6 linked regions of the Xenopus tropicalis genome follow. The protein of the gene in region 5 interacts with the protein of the main gene of each other region in a pairwise test. Links are inferred from orthologs where the notes say so. Each region holds a gene or a part of one and is shown on either strand. Other genes may lie near its edges. The genes, in order: ndrg4, ptpn9, pbx3, sh3gl1, mal2 and tpd52.

The links.
Region 1: the proteins of mal2 (region 5) and ndrg4 interact in binary tests that used the Homo sapiens proteins (3 or more experiments, as listed by UniProt). The two-hybrid records come from large-scale screens. The link is inferred for Xenopus tropicalis from reciprocal best matches to the Homo sapiens genes MAL2 and NDRG4.
Region 2: the proteins of mal2 (region 5) and ptpn9 interact in binary tests that used the Homo sapiens proteins (3 or more experiments, as listed by UniProt). The two-hybrid records come from large-scale screens. The link is inferred for Xenopus tropicalis from reciprocal best matches to the Homo sapiens genes MAL2 and PTPN9.
Region 3: the proteins of mal2 (region 5) and pbx3 interact in a two-hybrid assay, tested with the Homo sapiens proteins (2 studies listed by BioGRID). The two-hybrid records come from large-scale screens. The link is inferred for Xenopus tropicalis from reciprocal best matches to the Homo sapiens genes MAL2 and PBX3.
Region 4: the proteins of mal2 (region 5) and sh3gl1 interact in binary tests that used the Homo sapiens proteins (3 or more experiments, as listed by UniProt). The two-hybrid records come from large-scale screens. The link is inferred for Xenopus tropicalis from reciprocal best matches to the Homo sapiens genes MAL2 and SH3GL1.
Region 6: the proteins of mal2 (region 5) and tpd52 interact in a two-hybrid assay, tested with the Homo sapiens proteins (2 studies listed by BioGRID and IntAct). The link is inferred for Xenopus tropicalis from reciprocal best matches to the Homo sapiens genes MAL2 and TPD52.

The regions. Positions count from the first base shown.
Region 1 is NC_030680.2:75,873,075-75,876,574, reverse strand, and holds part of ndrg4 (protein NDRG4), read right to left. Parts: intron 2,682-3,500; coding exon 2,561-2,681; intron 2,480-2,560; coding exon 2,417-2,479; intron 1,012-2,416; coding exon 951-1,011; intron 314-950; coding exon 227-313; intron 1-226. UniProt on the Homo sapiens protein: Contributes to the maintenance of intracerebral BDNF levels within the normal range, which is necessary for the preservation of spatial learning and the resistance to neuronal cell death caused by ischemic stress.
Region 2 is NC_030679.2:93,344,980-93,348,479, reverse strand, and holds part of ptpn9 (tyrosine-protein phosphatase non-receptor type 9), read right to left. Parts: intron 2,925-3,500; coding exon 2,819-2,924; intron 2,638-2,818; coding exon 2,527-2,637; intron 1,878-2,526; coding exon 1,555-1,877; intron 1,456-1,554; coding exon 1,365-1,455; intron 1,094-1,364; coding exon 1,024-1,093; intron 1-1,023. UniProt on the Homo sapiens protein: Protein-tyrosine phosphatase that could participate in the transfer of hydrophobic ligands or in functions of the Golgi apparatus.
Region 3 is NC_030684.2:27,526,041-27,529,540, forward strand, and holds part of pbx3 (pre-B-cell leukemia transcription factor 3), read right to left. Parts: intron 3,187-3,500; coding exon 3,051-3,186; intron 1-3,050. UniProt on the Homo sapiens protein: Transcriptional activator that binds the sequence 5'-ATCAATCAA-3'.
Region 4 is NC_030677.2:93,852,112-93,856,259, reverse strand, and holds the start of sh3gl1 (endophilin-A2), read right to left. Parts: upstream 2,801-4,148; 5' UTR 2,764-2,800; coding exon 2,719-2,763; intron 1-2,718. UniProt on the Homo sapiens protein: Implicated in endocytosis. May recruit other proteins to membranes with high curvature.
Region 5 is NC_030682.2:137,845,402-137,849,584, reverse strand, and holds the start of mal2 (protein MAL2), read right to left. Parts: upstream 2,801-4,183; 5' UTR 2,783-2,800; coding exon 2,654-2,782; intron 1-2,653. UniProt on the Homo sapiens protein: Member of the machinery of polarized transport. Required for the indirect transcytotic route at the step of the egress of the transcytosing cargo from perinuclear endosomes in order for it to travel to the apical surface via a raft-dependent pathway.
Region 6 is NC_030682.2:123,595,018-123,599,197, forward strand, and holds the start of tpd52 (tumor protein D52), read right to left. Parts: upstream 2,801-4,180; 5' UTR 2,435-2,800; coding exon 2,296-2,434; intron 1-2,295.

The sequences.
Region 1 (3,500 bases), on a different chromosome or scaffold from region 5:
GCCCCAAAGTGGGACCAAGGCCAAAAGTCCACGTTTTCTTCTTTACGTCTCTAAACAAATGATGTCACTTCACTTATTAATTTAAATGTCAGTTGTGTTGCCATGCCTTATACATTCTGTTCTTTGTGGGTCTCACTATGCCATATTCCTAGTGTTTCCTTGTTGCAGTCTGCCCCATATTCCTATAATGTGCACAATGTCCCTTCTAACAAATTAGCTAGCTTACCTTGGAGGCTGCCCAGTCAATCCACCCTTTTCCGTTTGGATCAATGTTAACCAGAACCATGCCTTCCACTAACTCTGGGAAAATCAGCTGTTGGCCAATAAAAAGGAGACATTAAAACCATCAAAAATAAACCATAATATGCAAAAGGTACTAATAAATTAACATTTCTTTTATTTCATTATTTTTGTAATTATTATAATTTGATTTAGCAAACATTTGTGTAACCAGGGACCATTTCTGCAAAATATCTTGTCTTACTAAGCAAAGATTACAGTTTTACTTGTAGCAAGAGGATGTGGGGTGGGTGGGTAGGAAATTCTGGGCTTTATGTAACAATTTTATGTAATTCAAATCTACAATTTGTTCATACAGTAACACTAATGGGAGGTAACATTTGAAGTACATTTGATGAATATCAATCACATGCCGAGGGATACTGATTTCAATATTTCAGTAGTGTCATTCCCCAGACCCAATACCCTGTTGTGGGCACATTTTTTACATAAATTGCTATATTTTCAGAGGTTCCTATTATGCAATGCCTATGAACACCTATAGCAAAAAAAAAAAAAAAAATCAGAGACATCTGGACTGCATATGGCAAAAACTTAAAAATGTTTAATAAATGTACATGGGAACGTTGCTTAGAATTCCAATTTCTTTTTTCTACTCATGCAGGATGCACAGTAACCCACCAACTATATTAAAGCACACACAGACTTACAGCAAATTTTGCAAGGACATAGGCTCCTGCTCCAACACCAATGCCAATTATACTTTGAAATCTGCAAAAGAGAGAGTAAGTAATTAAGTAACAATTTATTTTAGCAGAACAGAAAGGAATGTAGGGATAAAAGGGATAGTAAGCTACTTGCTACAGTTCAACATTCTCCTTTCAAACCTGATGTAAGTATATATGTTCTAAAAAGAGCACCTGTTTATTTACCTTACATTAAAAAGTATCAAAATAAAGCCTATGTTAAATCCGTGCTTATTTGCTCAGTGCTTAGCTTGGGTTATTTATTTGCTGTAGTAACCTAAGGGCTCTGACACACGGGGAGATTAGTCACCCACAACAAATCTCCCTTGTCGCGGGCGACTAATCTCCCCGAAATGCCATCCCACCGGCGAGAGGAAACCTCCGCAATTTAGATTCTCGCCGGTGGGATGGCATTTCGGGGAAATTAGTCGCCCGCAACAAGGGAGATTTGTTGCAGGCCACTAATCTCCCCGTGTGCCAGAGCCCTAAAGCAACTAACCAAACATTGGCTTTTATACTGATCTCTGTGCTGATTAATACTGCCATCTGGTGGGTTGATGTTAGTTACAACACTGGAGTAGTTTAAACCTATTGTTTTTGTCTATCTATGCACTTGTAAGCTCGCAAGGACCAAACATGAAGAAGATGCAGTTTCCTTGTTTGCCCTGTTTAGCTCAAGAAATAACAAAAACCACAGATTCTGATTCACAGTATATTCAGCACAAGCTCTATTCATTGAACTCACAATGAACAAGGGGGTACACTACCGCTTTAATAAATTAGTCTGCCTCTTCATTTTGGCAGTTCATAATAAAATCTGCCATATTGCATACCAGTGGCAAATTATAAGTTACATAGCCTCGCAACAATATCCTTTAATACCAAATCCAGCCACCTAAAGTTTGCACAAGATGATCTGTTGCACACATATTTATTAAAATTCAAGTTAGTAGAGAGCCCCATCAGGCACTGTACACTACAGACTGCTTTACGGTCATTTTAAAAGTGCAGGGCACAATGCAAAGTATGAACAAATGGGTGCAAACCACCCTGTTTCTTGCACACATGCTATTTTATAACATGGGTGATAAATTGTACTAGTAAAGTTACCAAGAAAAACTAATTGGAATTTAGGGTTAATTTATGACCACAAGCACAGTCTAAATTAAATTAATTTCAGTTAGTTGTGTAAAAAATCCAATTAATCCCATCAACCTGTGTGCTAGCAGTTTCAAGCCAAGCAGTAGCTCCAGGGTTCCCACAGCAACCTGTTTCAATCTCTGAGGCATGGTTGCACCAAAAGTATGTTGAACACACGTCACACAACATCATCTAGTGACCCACTCCATTTTAGAGATATAATTAGGTATGCTCATGTCAGTAGCTGATATCTAACAGTATTTGGATTCTGTCCCATTCACCTGACTTACCCAAAGTGCTGCATGACACTGGGTAGCATGGCTGCCAGTTGTTCCATTGTGGGATATTGGTACCTAAGGAAAGGCAGATAGTTATTGCCAGAGGACTGTACTTAATACAATAAAACAACAGGTTATGTAATTTTCTTTACTTACCCCTGAGGGAACTGTGATGCCCCCACCTGCTGCCCCGGGGCATCCACATGGCATACCACAAAGTGCTTAGTTATCTCCTGCATATCCTCATAGTTAAAGAAGGTGTTGAAACAAAGCTTGTCTGGAAAAAAAGACAATGAGTGCAACTTAACTGAGACTCATCAATTAATTGGGCAGTAGGGGTGTAACAGTAATAGCAAGTGAAGTGAGTTCTCATTGTGCTCCTTGACATTACATAGCAGTAAGGAGGGCAAAACCAATCAGGGGTTAGGTCCCTAAGAAGATTTTTTTGGAAATCAGCAATTTCAAGTAGAGGCCAGTATAAGACATGCAGCAGTTATGACACAAAATAAGGGTTAAATATTTAAAGCAGTAATTGAACCATAAGTACCAGCACTTCTGACTGCTTTGGTATTTGTGTTATATTGTATAGCAAATGTCTCTCCTGCCCTGCACTATGGTCTGTGCTGAATAATATGCAGTTTATCTTTCTTGGCACTGAACTGTTTTAAGCAATGAACACCAATATATAATGTAATGTAATAATGCATTGTATTTCTAGTATTTCTTTCCAGTGGTAAATAGTATGCCAGTTTTATATGCTGACCCTGAGTTTCTGACTTTGGTAAATAATATACAAAGTATCCTGCCTGACCCAAAGCTGCTGCCTGCATTAAATATTAGGTGGGAATTCTTTCTATGCCTAAAATCAAATCAATAATTTCTGTTTAGCTTTCAGCAAAAAGTATAATTTGCCTTATTCCTGAGGTGATTGTGTATCTGATATCCTTCCTGGGCCTTTACTGCTATATTCAGGTATACAAAGTATATATTCAGGCAGTAAGTTATCTTTAAAACCTCTGAAATGTGTTTTATTAATACATGCAAACATAGATGTAAAAATAAATACTTGTTCTGTATCTTTAAAGAAAAACTCGTT
Region 2 (3,500 bases), on a different chromosome or scaffold from region 5:
CCAACTGTTTGTTATTTTACTTTTATAGGCATTTATTATTTACATTTACAGTACATCTATTTAGTATACATATCTATGTTATCCATATTTCATCTCCTGTAATTACCATTACTGTTGACTCCAATCAGTCCTACTGAAATTGGATAGAAATTGCCATTATGCATAAGGTCGTATGTGACAGTGCCTTGGACCTGAACCATGATGCTTTACAGATGTGAATATTTTTTACCAGTGGCTCGTATGTCGACTGACATTCCACATGGGGCTACCAGATAGTCAATCATAGTCCCTTTGAGTGTGGCTCATAAGTAAAAAATGTTGGCGATCCCTGATGTAGAGGTATTTTAAGACAATATGTAGTTGGTCTTATTTTTTGTTTCTTTTAATTTTTTTATGTTTTGTGGCACTATACTTTGTAATGTTTACTGAAAGATGAATTAAAAAAAAAAGTGATAATATTGATAACAATTAAAATGTACATAAAAAGGTGACATCAAACAACCAGAAAGCTTTTTAAACTTCCTTTGTTCCTTGACCAGGGAAAACTTTTTCTCACATTACAGTGCAATTCTATTACTTAAAAGCAATTGTTTCAGATGTCACTTAATGGTGACCACGCAAGACCACCAAATGTATGCACCAGTTCAGCCTGGGTTTATAAATTGTGTGCAGTTGCATACATTGTACAGGGCAGATGGACATGAGGAAGCTCTTGAATTACCACCTGCATTGTTGGGGTTGTACTTCCAGGGTTTTACTTTGTGTGTTACACCTCCACATGCAACTCAGTCACACTTAGGGAATCATGGTCCAATGGAAGTGGCATCATTTGCAAACACGGGCTTCATAAAACAGTACTGCAACTAGCATTGAGCTCAACAATGCAAAATGTGCAGCTGTAATGTTAAATTCACAAGTTGTGGTACATGCTATTTCACATTATCCCACTATTTAGCTGAAGTTCTGGGGGAAAACATAGCAATTGTTTGTTTTTGAGCCTAGTAAATTACACTTCTAGCTTACCCTGGGTTCCAATATACATATTCTTCTGGAGATACCCATCCATAAAGCTGGCATTTATGTAATCAGAGCGCTAGAGAAAGTTAAATAAGAAAAATGAATCAGGTTTGCAATTAAATGAATGACATTCCTGTTTATCTTATTTGGCAAAATATTTCATTTTTGTCACTTCTGCGTCACTGAATGCAGTTGTTGTTACAAAAGTATTTATATTTTCAGTTTATAAAAAGCTTAATAACCTAAAAATTATAAAATAACAAATGTAAATTGCAAACGTGCTTAGAATAGTTAGCAACTATTATCATTTGGTAATGTGAATTTTTATATAAACAGAAATTTCTCACCTCATGCCAATTCAGACGTTTCAGTTTCACACGGGTTTGGTCCAAGCATAAGACATCTCCATAACGATTTCGATCGCGATTCACTGGGGCCCTAAAAGAAAAAAGAGAATTCATATATTCACTCTTTCAGATCCCCTGCTCCCTCTCTCACAGACATGCCCACATCTAATGTTTCTTTTGACACACTTACAATGACACAGTGAATGTTCCTTCTGGCTGTTTCTTTCTCATCTCCTCGTATTCCTCATATGTTCCACGCCTCCCAACTCTGCCAACATACTCCTTCAGCTGTGCTAAAGTCATCCCCCTAGCTCCAGGCCTATGTACACTTCCAGATGGGCCTCCTCCTAGTACCATTACTAACTCATCTAAGGGATCTGGCTTTCCAGCTCGACCTGGAAGAAGTAGACAGTTCCAGGAGCCAGGATCCCAAGGAAGGAGACCCCCCAAAGACTCTGGAAGGCACTGTGGAGGCAAGTGCTCCAAAAGCTCACTTGCATTGACCATGTGGACCTGAGGGAACAGAGATACAGCCGTGAGCTAAAGAAAACAGCAGAAAGACAACAGATAGTAGTGCAAAAAGAGAACAGTATGACAGAAAATTGGGCATTTTTGAAGCATAGACATTTGTGCCTATTAAAGAGAAAGAAGCAGAGAGTAAGAATGGTGTTTTCTTATACAGTGACAAAGACAATATTTAGAAATAAGAGGTTGGAAGGACAAGAAAATAGTGTCTGCACTTACAAAGTTAAGGTAGCAATACATGGGCAGATTTCAGCTGCCTATTAGGGTTCTTAAGACCGACTTGACAGCTTATCTGCCTGTGTATGGGGCCCTTTAACAGGCCACTCCGACCTATATCTCGCTAAATATTGGCCAAATGTCAATTGGATAGGCTTGATTTTTTGTCGGATCTGGGACTGCATCAGCTCATTGATGCAGTCCTTGCTCCAACTTTTCCTATCCCCTTCATTGCAATGTGATCCTTTGGCCATAGGGCCAAACGGTTTCATTAGCACGATATTGCCCACCCAAGGTGGGAATATCAGGAGAAAGATTTACTTGTTTGGCGACCTCACCACACAAGCAAATCTTACCATGTATTGCCACCTTTACTGCGCATATTTACTACATACCTTTGGCTGCGTATGTTTATGCTTACCCTCTCTCTCAGCTTTTCCTTGAGTAGTAGGCTAATGACAGAATATGGGACCCGGAACCAGACCGGAGGGGACACAATAAGGACCTTCTTCAGACGAGCAGGGAATGCACCCTACCAAAGAAGCAAAGCTATTTCTCGCACACAATTGAAGAGGCATGCTATGTAGACACTCAGTAGGAAGAAGTAAAACCTGAGATGTAGGGAAGGAAGAAGGTGTAACGCAAGGTGGGGATCTATCTGGTTTGGAAAGTGCAGTGCTTTGCAGAGAATAGGATGTGTATAAAATACTTACTCTCAGCAGGCTCAAGATTTTCTTGCTTAATTCCAACTCAAAGTTGTTGTACTGACTTCCACCCATGTCATAGATAAAAAACAGGCCATTTCTCTGTGTATCTACACTATAGGAAGAAAATTAAACAGTAGCTTCTTTTATATGTATGTATTATTATTATTATGCAGATGAAATAGCATCTTCCAAGTGCTGACTGCCATATTAATGGTAAGCAATATAGGATGTACTGCAGTGGCAAAAAGCAGACGTCCTCAACTGCCCTCTTAACAAGCATTGTCTAAGTATTTTTTCTCTCAAAATACTCTATCCTCTGTGTGCTCCCTGAATCACTGCAGTTAGGTCATGTGCTTGGCAAATGTTTGCCTTTTACCAATTATGTGGCAGGTATTGTAATATTTATTGTGCTGACATATAAGCACCAGCCTGCCAGTGCTGTAGAGTCTATCTTTCAGAGGTTCTCTTTGATTCTTCTGCTATGCCATATATGCAGTACACAATGCACATCAATCAAATAAGTAGGCTAAAAAAGGGCACAGGTTTGAGATACAAAACAAAAGCAACAGCTTTATGTATAGTATTTTGGTACCATATTTTATTCCTAGTCTTCCTTTAAACAAGCCCCCCTATTGGGGTTGAGGTTGTAGCAAATTAAACATATGCCCTGGGATCCCAGTATCAGTGT
Region 3 (3,500 bases), on a different chromosome or scaffold from region 5:
TAGGAGTGGCCATACATGTGAATGGCCACTTTGAATTGTTCTATTTGCTTGGATAGAAAGCTCAAATGATTGAAACTGGAGGAAGTGAAGATGGGCCACCTCATCTGCCTATGCCCTATGTACCTACCAACATGGTGCACCGGCCAATGAAAACTTGCAACATGGCAGGATTGCAGGATGATTGGTGAAAACAGCCCCCTGGCCTGGTTTTATGTCCAGATGGCTGGGCAGTATGACTGAAATCAGTCAAACTGCCCAACCAAATCAGGGCCAGCTTAAGCCAAAGACCAAGAGTAAAAGCAAAAATAATAATATATTTCATAGTAAGATAAAGTTGTTTTTAACAAATGTACAAGGCAGGAAGTGTATACTTATTTTAGCAAAAAATATTCAAATTTTAATAATGAAAAGTGTAAATGTTTATTGGCTGAGAGATGCAGAAGGCTGAAGCGTTTGTGTGCTGATGCGCTTGAATCTGGAGCTGGCTGCGTAACTGTAATTTTGTCAGTGAATTGTTAACAGTTTTACAGCACAAATGTCTTCAAACCACTCTCTGCTGTTACCCTGCAGAGCCAATGCCTCATTCTTTGCTTTGTCCCTGGCCAATACTTGCCTGTATTTTATATATTCTGCTTACCATTAACCTGCCAGCCAGCAGGGCAATAACACATTAATGAAGGCGGGCGGATAATTATTAAGGGAAAAAAAATCAGATTACTGCTTTATTAACAGCTTTAGAAGTGAGGAAATCTCTGGCGTGTGCAGAGGAGGACAATTCAGTACTCTCAACAATAGCCATGTCTAATAAAGGCTGCCTTCCATCCTCCCCCCGTTACATTTTAATATCGTTTGAGCCTCGGGAGGCCTCAGGGTGCAGGATTTTTTTTTTTTTGACGTGGTATAGGATTCCGTCCCAGTTTCTCTTATTCTTCCTTATCTTTAATATCAAGGCAATTAAAATTAATGACTGCCACTGTGGGCAGTGTTTCCCTGACATGCATTGTTTGATGGCATTACCTTGAGGTTAAACTAACGAGCGAGGTTTAATTGGAAGCAGTGAAAAGAGAGCCGCTCATACGTTATGTTTAACCTGCATGAAAAGGACCAGTTAATATCACGGACTGGTTAAAAGATACAGGCAAATATCCAGGCATTAACTGTCTTGAAAATGAGCATATGTAAAGGCACTGTAGATGTAATGTGTATCTGTTCAGCTTGCCTGTGATAATGGCTTTCTGTGGACCTGTAAAGGCACGGGAGAATGCTACCTTCTATTCTGTTGCTGAATTATTTGTGGCCATGGTAAGAAGATAGATCAAAATATGTTAGCTATATAATATAATACTATATAATGTTGACTTAATGGCTTAAATATACGTGCCTGATATGCGTGAGTGAGTAATTGTGAGTGAGGGAATTTGTATGTAAATCTTTTAAACCCATATATAGCTTTAAAGCCACATATGATAAAATGTTAAAAAGAAAAAGTCTCTCCTTTCTCAGTGTACTGTCAAGTTAGAAGTTTCTGCATAACAACTACCAGCAAAAAAACAGGAAAATAAGGTCTCTAAGTGTTAGATTTTGCAATTGCAGGGAACCAAAATAAAGCGTGTCTGCGTGCAATAAGGACGAGCGTTTCCTTTTTCTCTTGCGATGCTAGAAGTCAATTAATGAATCCGTTGAATGGAAATCATACATACACAGAGATTGTTATGGCTTTGCATGTATAGTACCCTATGCCCATATAATTTATTGCATTTACTGGCCCAATGAGAAGTGCACATACAATCAAGAATGGCCTAACAGAGTCTCGTATCTGTGGGGTTAATGGGTGATATCTAATTTCACCTTGGCACAGAAAGAAGTAATGTGTCTCTATTGATTATCTAATTTCTGCAATATATACATAAACAAGCTCTCTGTATAAAGAAACATATTTGTATGCTTTAATCAAAAGCAAATGGGTCCAATGGATGAATACAATTTGTTGAACATCCCTAAAGGCCCTAAAAGTGGGTTTATGGAGTTCTCAGAAAACACTTTTTACTTCTAAATATTATAAAAATATACACTTATATTTTTTACTTTAAAATATTGAATTACACACACTAAACCTAATCATTTAGTTCAACAAAATCTTGCCAGACTACATTTTTGGTAGGGTATTCAACAGCAGTTTCTCCCTGCCAGCTCACAATGCAAAGCAAATAAGAAGTGATTTAGCATCAGTTCTCTCCATTGTGTCTGCAAATGTTGGGCAGGCATTCTGTTCTTGCTAACTTTTAGATTGTAAGACCTATTAAGCAGGGCCTCTTTACCTCTTGTTTTGGTTGTATTTTGTATGTAATCTGTGTGAGTATACAACATCTATCGTACAGGACTATAAATCGTACAAGTGCTTATAAATACTTGTTAATGATAATAAGAATGACTTCAGACCCAACGATTAGTTAAAGCTACTAACTAGGAGTATGGTGCATTTGCTCGCAAACACACAGGGTAATGTTATTTTATTTTGGGCTATAGCTAGCATAGAAATTCTCTGTGATTGAGGGGTAAATAGCTGTATGGATGAGAAAATGGACCCAACCTCTCCCCACTGATTTGAAAAGCAATCACCTGGAATTGCGGATGCACTTGGGTGTTGGGTTATAGCCACTTGGAAAGATGAGTGCACCCACAATTGCATGGGGTTGCTGTTTAAATCAACGTAGAGCGATTGCAAGTGCCTTTTTGCCTACCCACATAGCTATAAATTACCCGGCTGAAAAAACATGGAATCACAAGGTGTGCCATTGCCCAGCAGTAGTCCCTCTGAGGTGCAATGCTAAAATTCACATGATTGAGGGGCAGGACAGTTCTATCGTTTTAAACAATTAATTGTGTGATGCACAGAGATATACTAATTAGAATTTGTTATAATTGTTTGTATTAATAAAGTATAATTGCATTCATGAAATGTATTTGTTACTTGGGAATTAAAACCCTGTTAGGTAATCTGCTCCAGGGCTAAGAATGCAAAGAGCACAGATATGGCAGGGTGGGCTCACCTGTGACACTGTGATACTGCATTTCTTTGCCAGCTCCTCTTTGGCTTCCTCGCTTGGGTAAGGGTTGCTAAGGTGGGAGTAGAAATACTCGTTTAGGATCTCTGTGGCTTGCTTACTGAAGTTACGTCTTTTTCTCCTGCAAAAAAAGAAAAACCCAGATCATCAGGTGGGCTCGCCGGAGGGGAAATAAATTAATAGATCAAATGATTACTGAAGAACTGGAGAGTTTAAACATTTAGCACCATTCTACATTGAGTACTTGTAGATCAGTAAGTCTACTGTCAAGATAAATATCTTATGTATAAACTAAAAAAAATGGCCTATTAATTTTAAAAAACTGGTTTAATTTAATGTTTAAATGATTTTTTTAGCTGACGGAAAGTATGAAGATCCAAAATATGAAAAGACCCTTATCTAGAAAACCCCAGATCCCAAGCATTCTCCATAACG
Region 4 (4,148 bases), on a different chromosome or scaffold from region 5:
TTTTAATGGGGATTAAAGCTTCCACACTTAGGGGTCTATTCATTAAAGTACGAGTTTGAATCCCGAATTGGGAAAAATTAGGATAAAATACGATAATTTCTGATGATCGCAAATATCACGAAAATGCTTACGAAAAAATAATATTAGTCACGATAATATCATATTGGTGATCCAAAAGTCACAAAATTTTCGTATCCGAACGATCATAAACTGCGGGAAAACCCTTTCTGACTTTGATCCTTCTGTGCTTGTTTTTGGAAGCCTCCCATTGGACTTCAATGGCACTCTGCAGCTCCAACCTGGCCCAAAGAAAGTCACAATACCGAAGCTTGAATGAATCCAAAACTTTCGTACTCGGGCCGACAATACGATTTTGTTGCGTAAGTTTTGTCACAAAGTACGAAAAATTTGCGCAACTATACGACAAAGTCGCAGAAAATAAGCACAGTACAATCAAATACAATTTTTTTTTATTTCGTACCTGTCGTACTTTAATAAATAGGCCCCATAGTATTCATATTAATGCAACTTATAATGAATAATACATTTTTTATTTACATATCTGTGACCCAGTGGAACAAAGCGAAGCCTTTCATAGCAGTAGTTAGCCACCATTTGGCTCACTTACTCTCCCTGAAAGTCTTTGGCTAATCACACCCCAAACCCCCTAAAGTATTTTTTCTAAGTTTTCATACTGTGCATATTTTTTGCGACTTTTTTTGTTAATTTGCATGGCTTTTTTGTATTTTGTGACAGAAAGTGCGACAATTTGTGCGACAAAATCGTATTTGTTGCGCTGAGTATGAAAGTTTCAGATTCATTAAAGCTTCGGTATTGTGCCTTTCCTTTGCCCAGGTTGGAGCTGCAGAGTGCCATTGAGACCTATGGGAGGCTTCCAAAAACATGCACTGAAGGATCAAAGTCAGAAAGGTTTTCCCGCCGTTTATGATTGTTCGGATACGAAAATTTCGTGACTTTTGAATCGCCAATACGATATTATCAAGACTAATATGATTTTTTTGTAAGCATTTTCGTGATATTTCAGTTCATCAGAAATTATTGTATCTAATCAGAATTTTACCCATTTCGGGATTTGAACTCGTACTTTGATGAATCAGCCCCTATGTCAATGTAAGATTTCTGTTTAGCTCAAATTTGGATATCGAGACACACTGCTGCTTAGGGACAGAACAGTATATATTTCTCATGCAGTCGTTTATATTGACTTCTCCATTAAGGATTATACTTATTTATGCAATACCTGCAATTATTTATTGCAGTCATGTTATATAAGTAATGTATGCATTCATCCTTTAGAGGTATAAATAAATAAATGGCATATGACCTGCCTTTACATAAAGGCATTAAACCCATGGTATAAGGCACAGTTTATGTGACACACACGTGCGTGTGTGTGTGTGTGTGTATAGACCTTCAAGCCCTATTGGAACTTAAATGGCATCCCCAATTAACTATATTAAAGCTTCTGAAGCTAACAATTACATTTTTATCATAATTAAAAAATGACAGGATTGCACAAGCCTCCACTGGAATTCAACCTTTGGCCTGAGGGCAGGGCCATACAAAGGCATTAACCAGATTTGGTCCAAGAAACTGAAGAGTGTACACACAAATGTAGTTTTAGCTGCAAGGTAGGCTCTGCCTTAATGGGCACTGGGTTGCTTAACATGAAAAGCAGCACAGCAATCCTATGCTATCACCAAAATTAAAAAAGAAATTCTAATACTATTTTCTCCTAATTAAAGAAAATGTCCCCACATCCAGAAAAGACTAAATGGACACTACTGGCTTTTTTTATAGTCAGCTCTTGGCCAAGTCTGTAAATTAAAGGAACAGTAACACCAAAAAATGAAAGTGTATAAAATGAATGACAATATAATGTACTGTTACATTGCATTTCTACAACTGGTGTGTTTGCCTCAGAAAGACTACTATAGCTTATATAAGTAACCTGCTGTGTAGCCATGGGGGCAACCATTCAAAGGAGAAAAGGCACAGGTTACTTAGCAGATAACAGATAAACCCTCATTATATTGGGCTTATCTACTAGTTATCTGCTATGTAACCTGTGCCTTTTCTCCTTTTTTCCAGCTTGAATGGCTGCCCCCCATGGCTACACAGCAGCTTATTTATATAGTAGCTTTTCTGTAGCAAAAACACCAGTTTTTTGCAGAGCAACAGCACATTATATTTTAATTACTTTAAAACACTTTAATTTTTGATGTTACTGTTCCTTTAACAGAAATCACGAGTGTAGAGCGCACAGTAGGGAATACACAACAAATAGATTTACAAATTTTCAACAAGAACACCCCACATTATATGTTTCTAAAACGTTAGTATGCTTATCTTTTGACTTAATTGCTTCTATGACTTCTTTACACAATGTTTACGTGCATACACAGCGGCACTAGAGCAGCTTCTCCGCCTCTTCCCACACAATGCACATTCCATTCTCACAGGTCCCGAAAGTTGTGTAAGCAAATTTAGACAAACGTATGCCGATATTCGTGTAAAGCGAAAGCGACTCTAGAGTGCGAACTTTACATGATACAGATGTACATCCCGCCTCCCCAAGCCCTCACCCAACAAAAAAGAATGCACAGAGCTGGTGTCTCCGGGGACACAGTTTGAATACTTCAAAAGTAAGACTTCGCAGTTAACATCATCTGCCTTCAAAATACATGTAGCGCTCACCTGACTTGCTTTATAAAACTGCTTTTTAAGCCCGGCTACAGACATTGTTGCGGTACACTAAGATTGCAGGACTACAGGAATCGCGGACAAAACTGTAGAGCCTCTCCCCAGGCTCCTCTCTCAGGATATTACATGGCAACCGCTTACTTCCGGTATAAGGCAGGAAACGGGGGAGGATAGCAGAGGCACAATCTTGAAGTGTTGCGTTTAACTATGAGCACAGTTTGCGAACAATAAATCATTATATTTGATTCCAGGGGCATATATTATTTAATCAAGATAAATATGTTATTTTTAATGTTGCACGTCTTATTATTTAATTAAAACAAATATGTTGGGTATTATATTTTATGTAAATAACAAGTGGTATTTTTCTATTTTAATAAAAAGTAATGTCACTGTGAATAAAAAAATACAGTGAATGATTACTTTTAGTAAGTTATTTTGCTGTGTTTTGAATTCAATAGTATGTCTACTGTTAAGGTCCCCATACACTGGCAGATCCACTCGCTTGGCGATGTCGCCAAGCGAGCGGATCTTCTCCCGATATCCCCCACCTACGGGTGGGTGATATCGGGAGAATGCAGGATAATTGCCTTGGGGCCAAACGATCAAATTATAATGACGGGCATAGGTAAAGTTGGTCTGGGGTCTGCATCAACGAGCCGATCCAACTAGATTTTTTAGCCTGCCCGATCAAGATCTGGCCGATTTCAGGCCAGATCTTTCTACTATGGGCCGTGTATGGGGACCTTTAAGCTGGCCAAGCGAGCAGATCTTCACCCGATATCCCCACCTAGGTGGCCAAACACAGGCCGATTCTAGCTACCGAGATCGGTCCCTTAGACCAATTCGGAAGCTTATCGGTCCATGTAGGGGCAATGACGATGGGCCTGCCCAACCAATATCTGGCCTGAAATCATCCAGATCTTGATCAAGCATGTTTCATTTTTTATCGGATTGGGGACCGCATCGGTTTGTTGAAAAATGTCTTAATATATCTGTATGTCATTTGTGTATAAGTGATATTTAAGTACTAATGAAGAGATAAGGTTTCCTTAAAAGAGAATGAACACAGAGAAACAACAGACAGCTGAGAACAGAACAATGAGGCACCCACACACTAAAGGTGGCCATACACGTAAAGATCCGCTCACCTGGCAAGGTCGCCAAGGGAGCAGATCTTCTCCCGATATCCCCACCTACGGATGGGCGATATCGGGGGAATTTAGGATAATTCGGTCGTTTGGCCCTGGGGCCAAACAATCGAATTATAACAACTGGAATAGGCCCAGTTAGTTCGGGGACCGCATCAACGAGCCGATGCGGTCCCAAATCCGACTGAATTTTTGAAAATCAATAAAACATTAATTAAACCCAATAGGATTGTTTTGCATCCAATAAGGATTATTTATATCTAAATTGGGATT
Region 5 (4,183 bases):
CAGAATACAGCTGGTAGCAGATAAAAGGAGGGCATTTCAGGGGGTAATAATAGAGGGTAAGGTTGTTGTGACTACTACAGGGACGTTGGGGGCATGTAGGTAGAAACAACTAAAATCTGTACAGGTATGGGACCTATTATACAGAATGCTCGGGACCTGGGGTTTTCCGGATAAGGGGTCTTTCCGTAATTTGGATTTCCATAATTTAAGTCGTAAATATTGAATAAACCCAATAGGATTGTTTTGCCTCCAATAAGGGGTAATTATATCTTAGTTGGGATCAAGTACAGGTACTGTTTTATTATTACAGAGAAAAGGGAATCATTTAACCATGAAATAAACCCAATAGGGCTGTTCTGCCCCCAATAAGGGGTAATTATATCTTAGTTGGGATCAAGTACAGGTACTGTTTTATTATTACAGAGAAAAGGGAATCATTTAACCATTAAATAAACCCAATAGGGCTGTTCTGCCCCCAATAAGGGGTAATTATATCTTAGTTGGGATCAAGTACAGGTACTGTTTTATTATTACAGAGAAAAGGGAATCATTTAACCATTAAATAAACCCAATAGGACTGTTCTGCCCCCAATAAGGGGTAATTATATCTTAGTTGGGATCAAGTACAAGGTACTGTTTTATTGTTAGAGAGAAAAAGAAAATCATTTTTTTAAATTAGAATTATTTGCTTATAATGGAGTCTATGGGAGATGGCCTTTCCCTAATTCAGAACTTTCCCTGTACCATGTAAAACAGAAAAGGAAACTGCAATAGGAAGAGGCTAATGGATAATCTCCTATGCAGGATTAGATATACATGAGTGTAGAGGCAGAAATAATAATAACACAGAGAGGCCCTTAAGCAAATTATGTGTCCTCAGGTTACAGCACCAAGGAGAATAACATACATGTATGTATGTATATCTATACATGTTACAACTTTATGCTCAGTTCCCACCAATTACCCCCCTATATAGTGCAGTTTAGTGCACCTACTGTATAGCCCACCTGCTGGTAATTCCATTATTATTATTACTGTTCTGAACCTCTTTATTTGCCCCTATAATTGGGCACATTTAATGTACAAAGACAAGGCTTAATATTAATAACAAGGCAGGAGTGTGTGTCCCACAGAGGTATGTATGTTTATACAATCCGTGTAAGTTATACAGGGTCATTTACACACTGCTATACAGAGACTGCTCAGCATTCAGTTGCTGCCCTAGGGGAGATTACTATCCAATTTCCCTGTCATGGCCAAGTGTCAGTTTTATAAAGAGCTAGCCTGTATGTTTTTGTAGGGTGTGAGAACCAGGAGTACTTGGGCACAGACACGGGAAGAACATACAGACTCCTTGCAGATAGTGCCCTGCTCAGTATCAAACTCAGGGCCCCAGTTCTGCAAGGCAGCTACTATATACACTGAAGGTACCAATGCACATCTGCTGGATTCCAGAACCAGAAAATAAGAGACACCACCTATCCTGCACCCCAAAAAAAAGGGGGCTCTGCAACTCCTTCTTGTGTCAGTGTGCGTATGTAACCTGTATATTTCATACACAGATCCAGCTCATATCTGAATCAAATGCAAAGAAAGCTATCCGGTCTTGCATCAGATCTATCAACATTCTATCGGTGTAGGATTCCATTGTCTCTACTATCAGGTTTGGGATTCTGTAGGGAGGGGCCGGGGGCCCAGTAATGGGGCTTTATCTGTGTATGAGAGGTTTCCTCATTACAGTCCTTGGCGATACAAAAGCTCAGGCAGAATACGGATAAAAGTTTTTATTTCAGAAATAAATGCCATAATTACCCCTGGCATAGCATTCTAACATGCTGTTACTTGCTTTAAACCTATAATTATGCAATTATAATGAGTGTATAAACAGCATTTGTACAAGGCGGCTTTGCCTGCAGCTCCATCGAATCAGATTCCCTTTCCCACGTGTAAAATTGTGGGGGGAATGTGATGGGACATTCTGGCATATGGTATGGACATGTCCACTTACACACCGATACTGATAGATACATGACGGAGACTTTAGCCCTCCCTCCAATATCAAATATGCTTGTTGGGCCTTATAGATAAGATTCGCCCATAAATAAATCACAGACACTGGCGAGATCGCTCCTATAATAATAATGATTATGGTGGGGTGTCTCCCCATCCCCAGAGAGAGCTACATGGGTAAAATATATCAATTAGATGCTTCCCCTGATTAAACTCTTCATTTTAATTGATTATAATCTATTATCATTGCCCGGTATGAATTTCGTGATTGTGAATTCAATTGTTTCAAAGCTGTGATTGGATTACTGCTGTATCCCCTCCCTTCCCACCACCACTTTTGCCTTCTTCTCCCTACCTCACTTATATTAAAAGAAATATAAAGGGTAACTATTAAAATATAAAAAAATTCTGATATAGCAGCAATCTGCTCAGTAATACTGCAAGGGTGTGGGGGCCCTAGGATATTGGCCCAATTTTGGACTTTCTGATGGTAAATGAATGTGAATGAGCAGGTTTACAGAATGCAGGACTCAGTATGGCTGAGGGCAAAGTCCCTTTATGCCATTTTTCTACCCTCAGTGTTACTCAATCCCCACTCCTGTCTATAGCAAATCTCTGAGAATCGCACAGCCGTCCAACTTACAATTTCCAGACAGATGAAGGCTCCAGAGTATGTCCTGAGCACTTCTGTGCCCGTTGGCAGGTTCATAGAGGCTGTTGGGTAGGACATGGCCGCAGGGCTGGGCACTGGAGGGACTCCTGATTCCGCCATGCTTGCTCTCTCTGTGTCATACAGAGACGACTGCAGCCCTCTCCCTGCACAGACAGGTTGCTGTGTGTATACCTGAGCTTGTCATGTGACCTGGAGGCAGGTGTAGCTCTGCCCAACCCTACAAGCTTTGTCTGACTGTCAGGTGAAGGCATGTAAGGATGGGAAGGTGTGCCTAAGGGCCAGACACTAAAAGGTGGGACAATGGATGCTAATAAAAGACTCGGCTGAGAAAGAACAATATTGTTCATAATTACTAGAAGAAAAATTGCTCCCATAAAAGGAGAAAAAAAATGAAATAAAGGCAAAGGAGTGATTACTGTTTTTTGTAGATAGTAGCAATCTAAGGGTCATATTTTCTGTATAAAGGTGGGTAAAGTGATCTAACTCTGTAAAAATGATTGTGAAAATGATTCATTAAAATAGTAAATCACTGGGGGGTCATTTATAAACACTGGGCACATTTGCACCTGAGCAGTTACCCACGGCAACCAATTAGATTTTTGCTTTTATTGTTCTACTCACAGCTGGTAAAGAAAAGCTAAACACTGATTGGTTGCTGCGAGTTACTGCCCAGGTGGAAATTTGCCCAGTGTTTATAAATGAGTCCCAAAGTATTTATAAAGGTGTGTAAATGACTTTATACCAGACTAACAACATCATTCACTATTTATCAGGGGCGTAACTACAGAGAATCATACCCTGATGTTGCAGGGGGAGCCAGGAGTGTAGGGGGGGCAATAAGGCCCTAATTATAGAGCAATTTCAATATATCTTAATAGCATAGGTCAACTATAGGGGCCCCAAATTGAATTTTCTGTGGGGTCCAGTAACATCTAGTTACGCCACTGCTTTTATACCACTTTATACCTGGTGTAACCTATAAGGGTGATGGCACATGTGGAAATTTGTGGCCCATGATAAATCTGCTTTACAGTGGGCTACTTACCTCCTAAAGGGGATTCATACCTAAATAAAACATAATCTGCATTCAAAGTGCATTCATTTTCAAATATCATTACCATATTTCAATTTTATGATTTATATCTAAAGTTGAATCTGAATTTGTGTATAAAATGCAGGTGGAGCCGGAGGGAAGTGGTGAGAGTTCTAGTTCTGCACCAGCTGAAGCATAATGGTTTCCTATCTCTTGGCCTTTCTGGCATTGCTATTTATATTCACCCATGTGATAGATAGACCCTTAAGGATGGGCCTTAGAGAATTCCCTTTAATTGCCAATATAAGGAAGTGGAGGAGTCAGGGACTGATCAGGAGATTAGGCAGGATACACTTCAGAGCCAGACCAGGCTGGAGGCTGTACCTTGTTGGGACTAGGTAGAAGTTAGGAGAATTAGTGCTAGCCCACCTCAGAGGTGAGGGGCAGCTAAGGTAGTCAACAAGAGC
Region 6 (4,180 bases), about 14 Mb from region 5:
GAGAGATGGTGCCTATAGTAGCAGTGGGATAATAGCCTCTGGGAAGGGACTGTGGCTGTGGGATAGAAGGTATAGTAGGGAGAGATGGTGCCTATAGTAGCAGTGGGGGGATAATATCCTCTGGGAAGGGACTGTGGCTGTGGGATAGCAGGTATAGTAGGGAGAGATGGTGCCTATAGTAGCAGTGGGGGGATAATAGCCTCTGGGAAGGGACTGTGGCTGTGGGATAGCAGGTATAGTAGGGAGAGATGGTGCCTATAGTAGCAGTGGGATAATAGCCTCTGGGAAGGGACTGGGGCTGTGGGATAGCAGGTATAGTAGGGAGAGATGGTGCCTATAGTAGCAGTGGGATAATAGCCTCTGGGAAGGGACTGTGGCTGTGGGATAACAGGTATAGTAGGGAGAGATGGTGCCTATAGTAGCAGTGGGATAATAGCCTCTGGGAAGGAACTGTGGCTGTGGGATAGCAGGTATAGTAGGGTGAGATGGTGCCTATAGTAGAAGTGGGGGGATAATAGCCTCTGGGAAGGGACTGTGGCTGTGGGATAGCAGGTATAGTAGGGAGAGATGGTGCCTATAGTAGCAGTGGGATAATAGCCTCTGGGAAGGGACTGTGGCTGTGGGATAGCAGGTATAGTAGGGAGAGATGGTGCCTATAGTAGCAGTGGGATAATAGCCTCTGGGAAGGGACTGGGGCTGTGGGATAGCAGGTATAGTAGGGAGAGATGGTGCCTATAGTAGCAGTGGGATAATAGCCTCTGGGAAGGGACTGGGGCTGTGGGATAGCAGGTATAGAAGGGAGAGATGGTGCCTATAGTAGCAGTGGGGGGATAATAGCCTCTGGGAAGGGACTGTGGCTGTGGGATAGTAGGTATAGTAGGGAGAGATGGTGCCTATAGTAGCAGTGGGATAATAGCCTCTGGGAAGGGACTGTGGCTGTGGGATAGAAGGTATAGTAGGGAGAGATGGTGCCTATAGTAGCAGTGGGGGGATAATATCCTCTGGGAAGGGACTGTGGCTGTGGGATAGCAGGTATAGTAGGGAGAGATGGTGCCTATAGTAGCAGTGGGGGGATAATAGCCTCTGGGAAGGGACTGTGGCTGTGGGATAGCAGGTATAGTAGGGAGAGATGGTGCCTATAGTAGCAGTGGGATAATAGCCTCTGGGAAGGGACTGTGGCTGTGGGATAGAAGGTATAGTAGGGAGAGATGGTGCCTATAGTAGCAGTGGGGGGATAATATCCTCTGGGAAGGGACTGTGGCTGTGGGATAGCAGGTATAGTAGGGAGAGATGGTGCCTATAGTAGCAGTGGGGGGATAATATCCTCTGGGAAGGGACTGTGGCTGTGGGATAGCAGGTATAGTAGGGAGAGATGGTGCCTATAGTAGCAGTGGGGGGGATAATAGCCTCTGGGAAGGGACTGTGGCTGTGGGATAGCAGGTATAGTAGGGAGAGATGGTGCCTATAGTAGCAGTGGGATAATAGCCTCTGAGAAGGGACTGTTGGCTGTGGGATTGCAGGTATAGTAGGGAGAGATGGTGCCTATAGTAGCAGTGGGATAAAAGCCTCTGGGAAGGGACTGTGGCTGTGGCATAACAGGTATAGTTGGGAGAGATGGTGCCTATAGTAGCAGTGGGATAATAGCCTCTGGGAAGGGACTGGGGCTGTGGGATAGCAGGTATAGTAGGGAGAGATGGTGCCTATAGTAGCAGTGGGGGGATAATAGCCTCTGGGAAGGGACTGTGGCTGTGGGATAGCAGGTATAGTAGGGAGAAATGGTGCCTATAGTAGCAGCGGGATAATAGCCTCTGGGAAGGGACTGTGGCTGTGGGATAGCAGGTATAGTAGGGAGAGATGGTGCCTATAGTAGCAGTGGGGGGATAATAGCCTCTGGGAAGGGACTGTGGCTGTGGGATAGCAGGTATAGTAGGGAGAAATGGTGCCTATAGTAGCAGTGGGGGCCCTGTGGCTGTGGGATAGCAGGTATAGTAGGGAGAGATGGTGCCTATAGTAGTAGTGGGATAATAGCCTCTGGGAAGGGACTGTGGCTGTGGGATAGCAGGTATAGTAGGGAGAGATGGTGCCTATAGTAGCAGTGGGGGGATAATAGCCTCTGGGAAGGGACTGGGGCTGTGGGATAGCAGGTATAGTAGGGAGAGATGGTGCCTATGGTAGCAGTGGGGGGATAATAGCCTCTGCTCACAACACCACATCTAAAAGGTGCCTGAAGACACAAAAGCCATAGGGCTGAGTCACACACAGAGATTACTTGTCACACACACGTATGCACCTTACCTGCTCTCAGTAGCGTAGGGGAATCTGGAGGAGTGGCATTTGGCCGGGGAGACAAATACAGATAATTTGTGTTAACTCCAGAGTCAAAATTAAAAGGTGACTTGTAATCCTCCTGCAGGTCGAAGTCTCCAGAATCCATGCTTAATGGTTCATTTTATATAAGTACATGAAAGACTAACATGGCCCGTAGCTGACCTCTTGATTTACAGGTGACAGTCCTGGTTCCACTCGGCCCATACAACTGTTTATCCGACCCAGCAGCGCAACATTGTCCTGCTTCCCTGCGGATCCCCGGGAGTTCACATGTGTGCCGCAGCCATTTGTTTAATGAGTGACTTTGCTGCGGGGGAGAGCCTACCTAGGCAGGGCTGGCTTCCTTCTCTCCAAGTGACAAAGAGTGGCCTCACCTTCCATGGCTTTCTGCTTCACTAACCTCCTGAGTACAGGCTATTGTCTCCAACGGACGTGGAAAGACATATAGCGTCCTGTGCACCTGAAGCTGCTGGTGTGCTGGTCCAGTTCACAAAGGATTTCTATTTAATTGCAAAACCCCATCATCTGATATCACATGCACAACCAGCAGCTTAATCTTCTAGGGCATAAACAGATTACCAGGCAGTGCTACACGGCACACACCATCTGTCCCAGCCATGGGTCCTGCTTAATGGAGAAATATCTGGACACTATGATACCAGGCTGCCTCCCCTTTATGCGAGACAATTGCGGCTAAGTAGCCGAGCTTTGTGCCTCTGTGCCATTTATAGCAGGGACAGGCACCGGATGCCCCGCAGCAGAGTGCTTTTCAATCAATCCATTACTTAATGCATCCTGGCCTTCAGACCTAAGAGTCTTGGGAATAATCTTCCAGGACTGCAGATAATACATGGCAGGGTTAGGTTGCGGCCACTGTTTTATGACCTGCTTTTCTAAGCCACTTGGGGGCACTGCTGAACAAGGTATAACCATAAATGCAGGTTTTATAATATAAAATGGCTTTTATAACATTAAGAACAAAAAGGCATAGTAGGTGTCAGTGTAATGCCATAGGCACCCCAATGGAGACTCAGAAAGCCACTAATGTGCTTTATATGGCTTTGGCCAAGCACAGACATCAATGGGATGTCACCTGTCTGGCAGCAGGTGGAGGCAGCGATACCTCAGTTAAGTGGCAGGACTACAGGCTGGTATACCATACGGATTCTGAACGCTTTTACACTGCATCATATCAGCAAAACAACCCTTGTGTAGCCAGCTAACTATGCCTGCACCACCATCCGGTCACTGAGGAGTCAACCACATGTAATGCCCAGAAAGTTTCAGCAGGGGGAGTCTTTTGGCTTTAAATGATCAGCATGAAGGGAATATTGAGTCTGCAATTCCATTGGAGTAAAGCAAACCCAAACATCATTAGAGAAGATCATTTTACAGGAGGGCTTTGGGAAAGTCATTAGGAGGGGTGTGACAGCCTGAGCAGAGTGGAGGCTAAGGTAAAGTAGAAACAACAAAAAGCAGCAACAGAGATGCCAAGTGGAAGTAAAAGGTAATTATTCGATACCTCTTGACATCGCTACTATACAAAAGTAAAGAGGAAATAAAAAAGGAATTAAATATCTGTGATGATTTTGTGTAATTTAATAAACATGCTGGTGCTAGGAACACATACTGTGTGCTCTTTTCTGCACTGGGCCCAGTATTTGACTTGCTAATAAGCCCTTAAGCCCTTAGCGGAGGGTCATAAAAATTCCTTGTAGAGTCAAATCTAGTCCCTGTGTCTCCAACAGTCCTGAGCTTTAAAAAGGTTGCAAAAAAAAAAAAAAAAAAAAAAATCATAGCCTAAGGTTTGTTATTTTACTGCCTTTTACAGTCTAACAGATTGGCAGGTTTA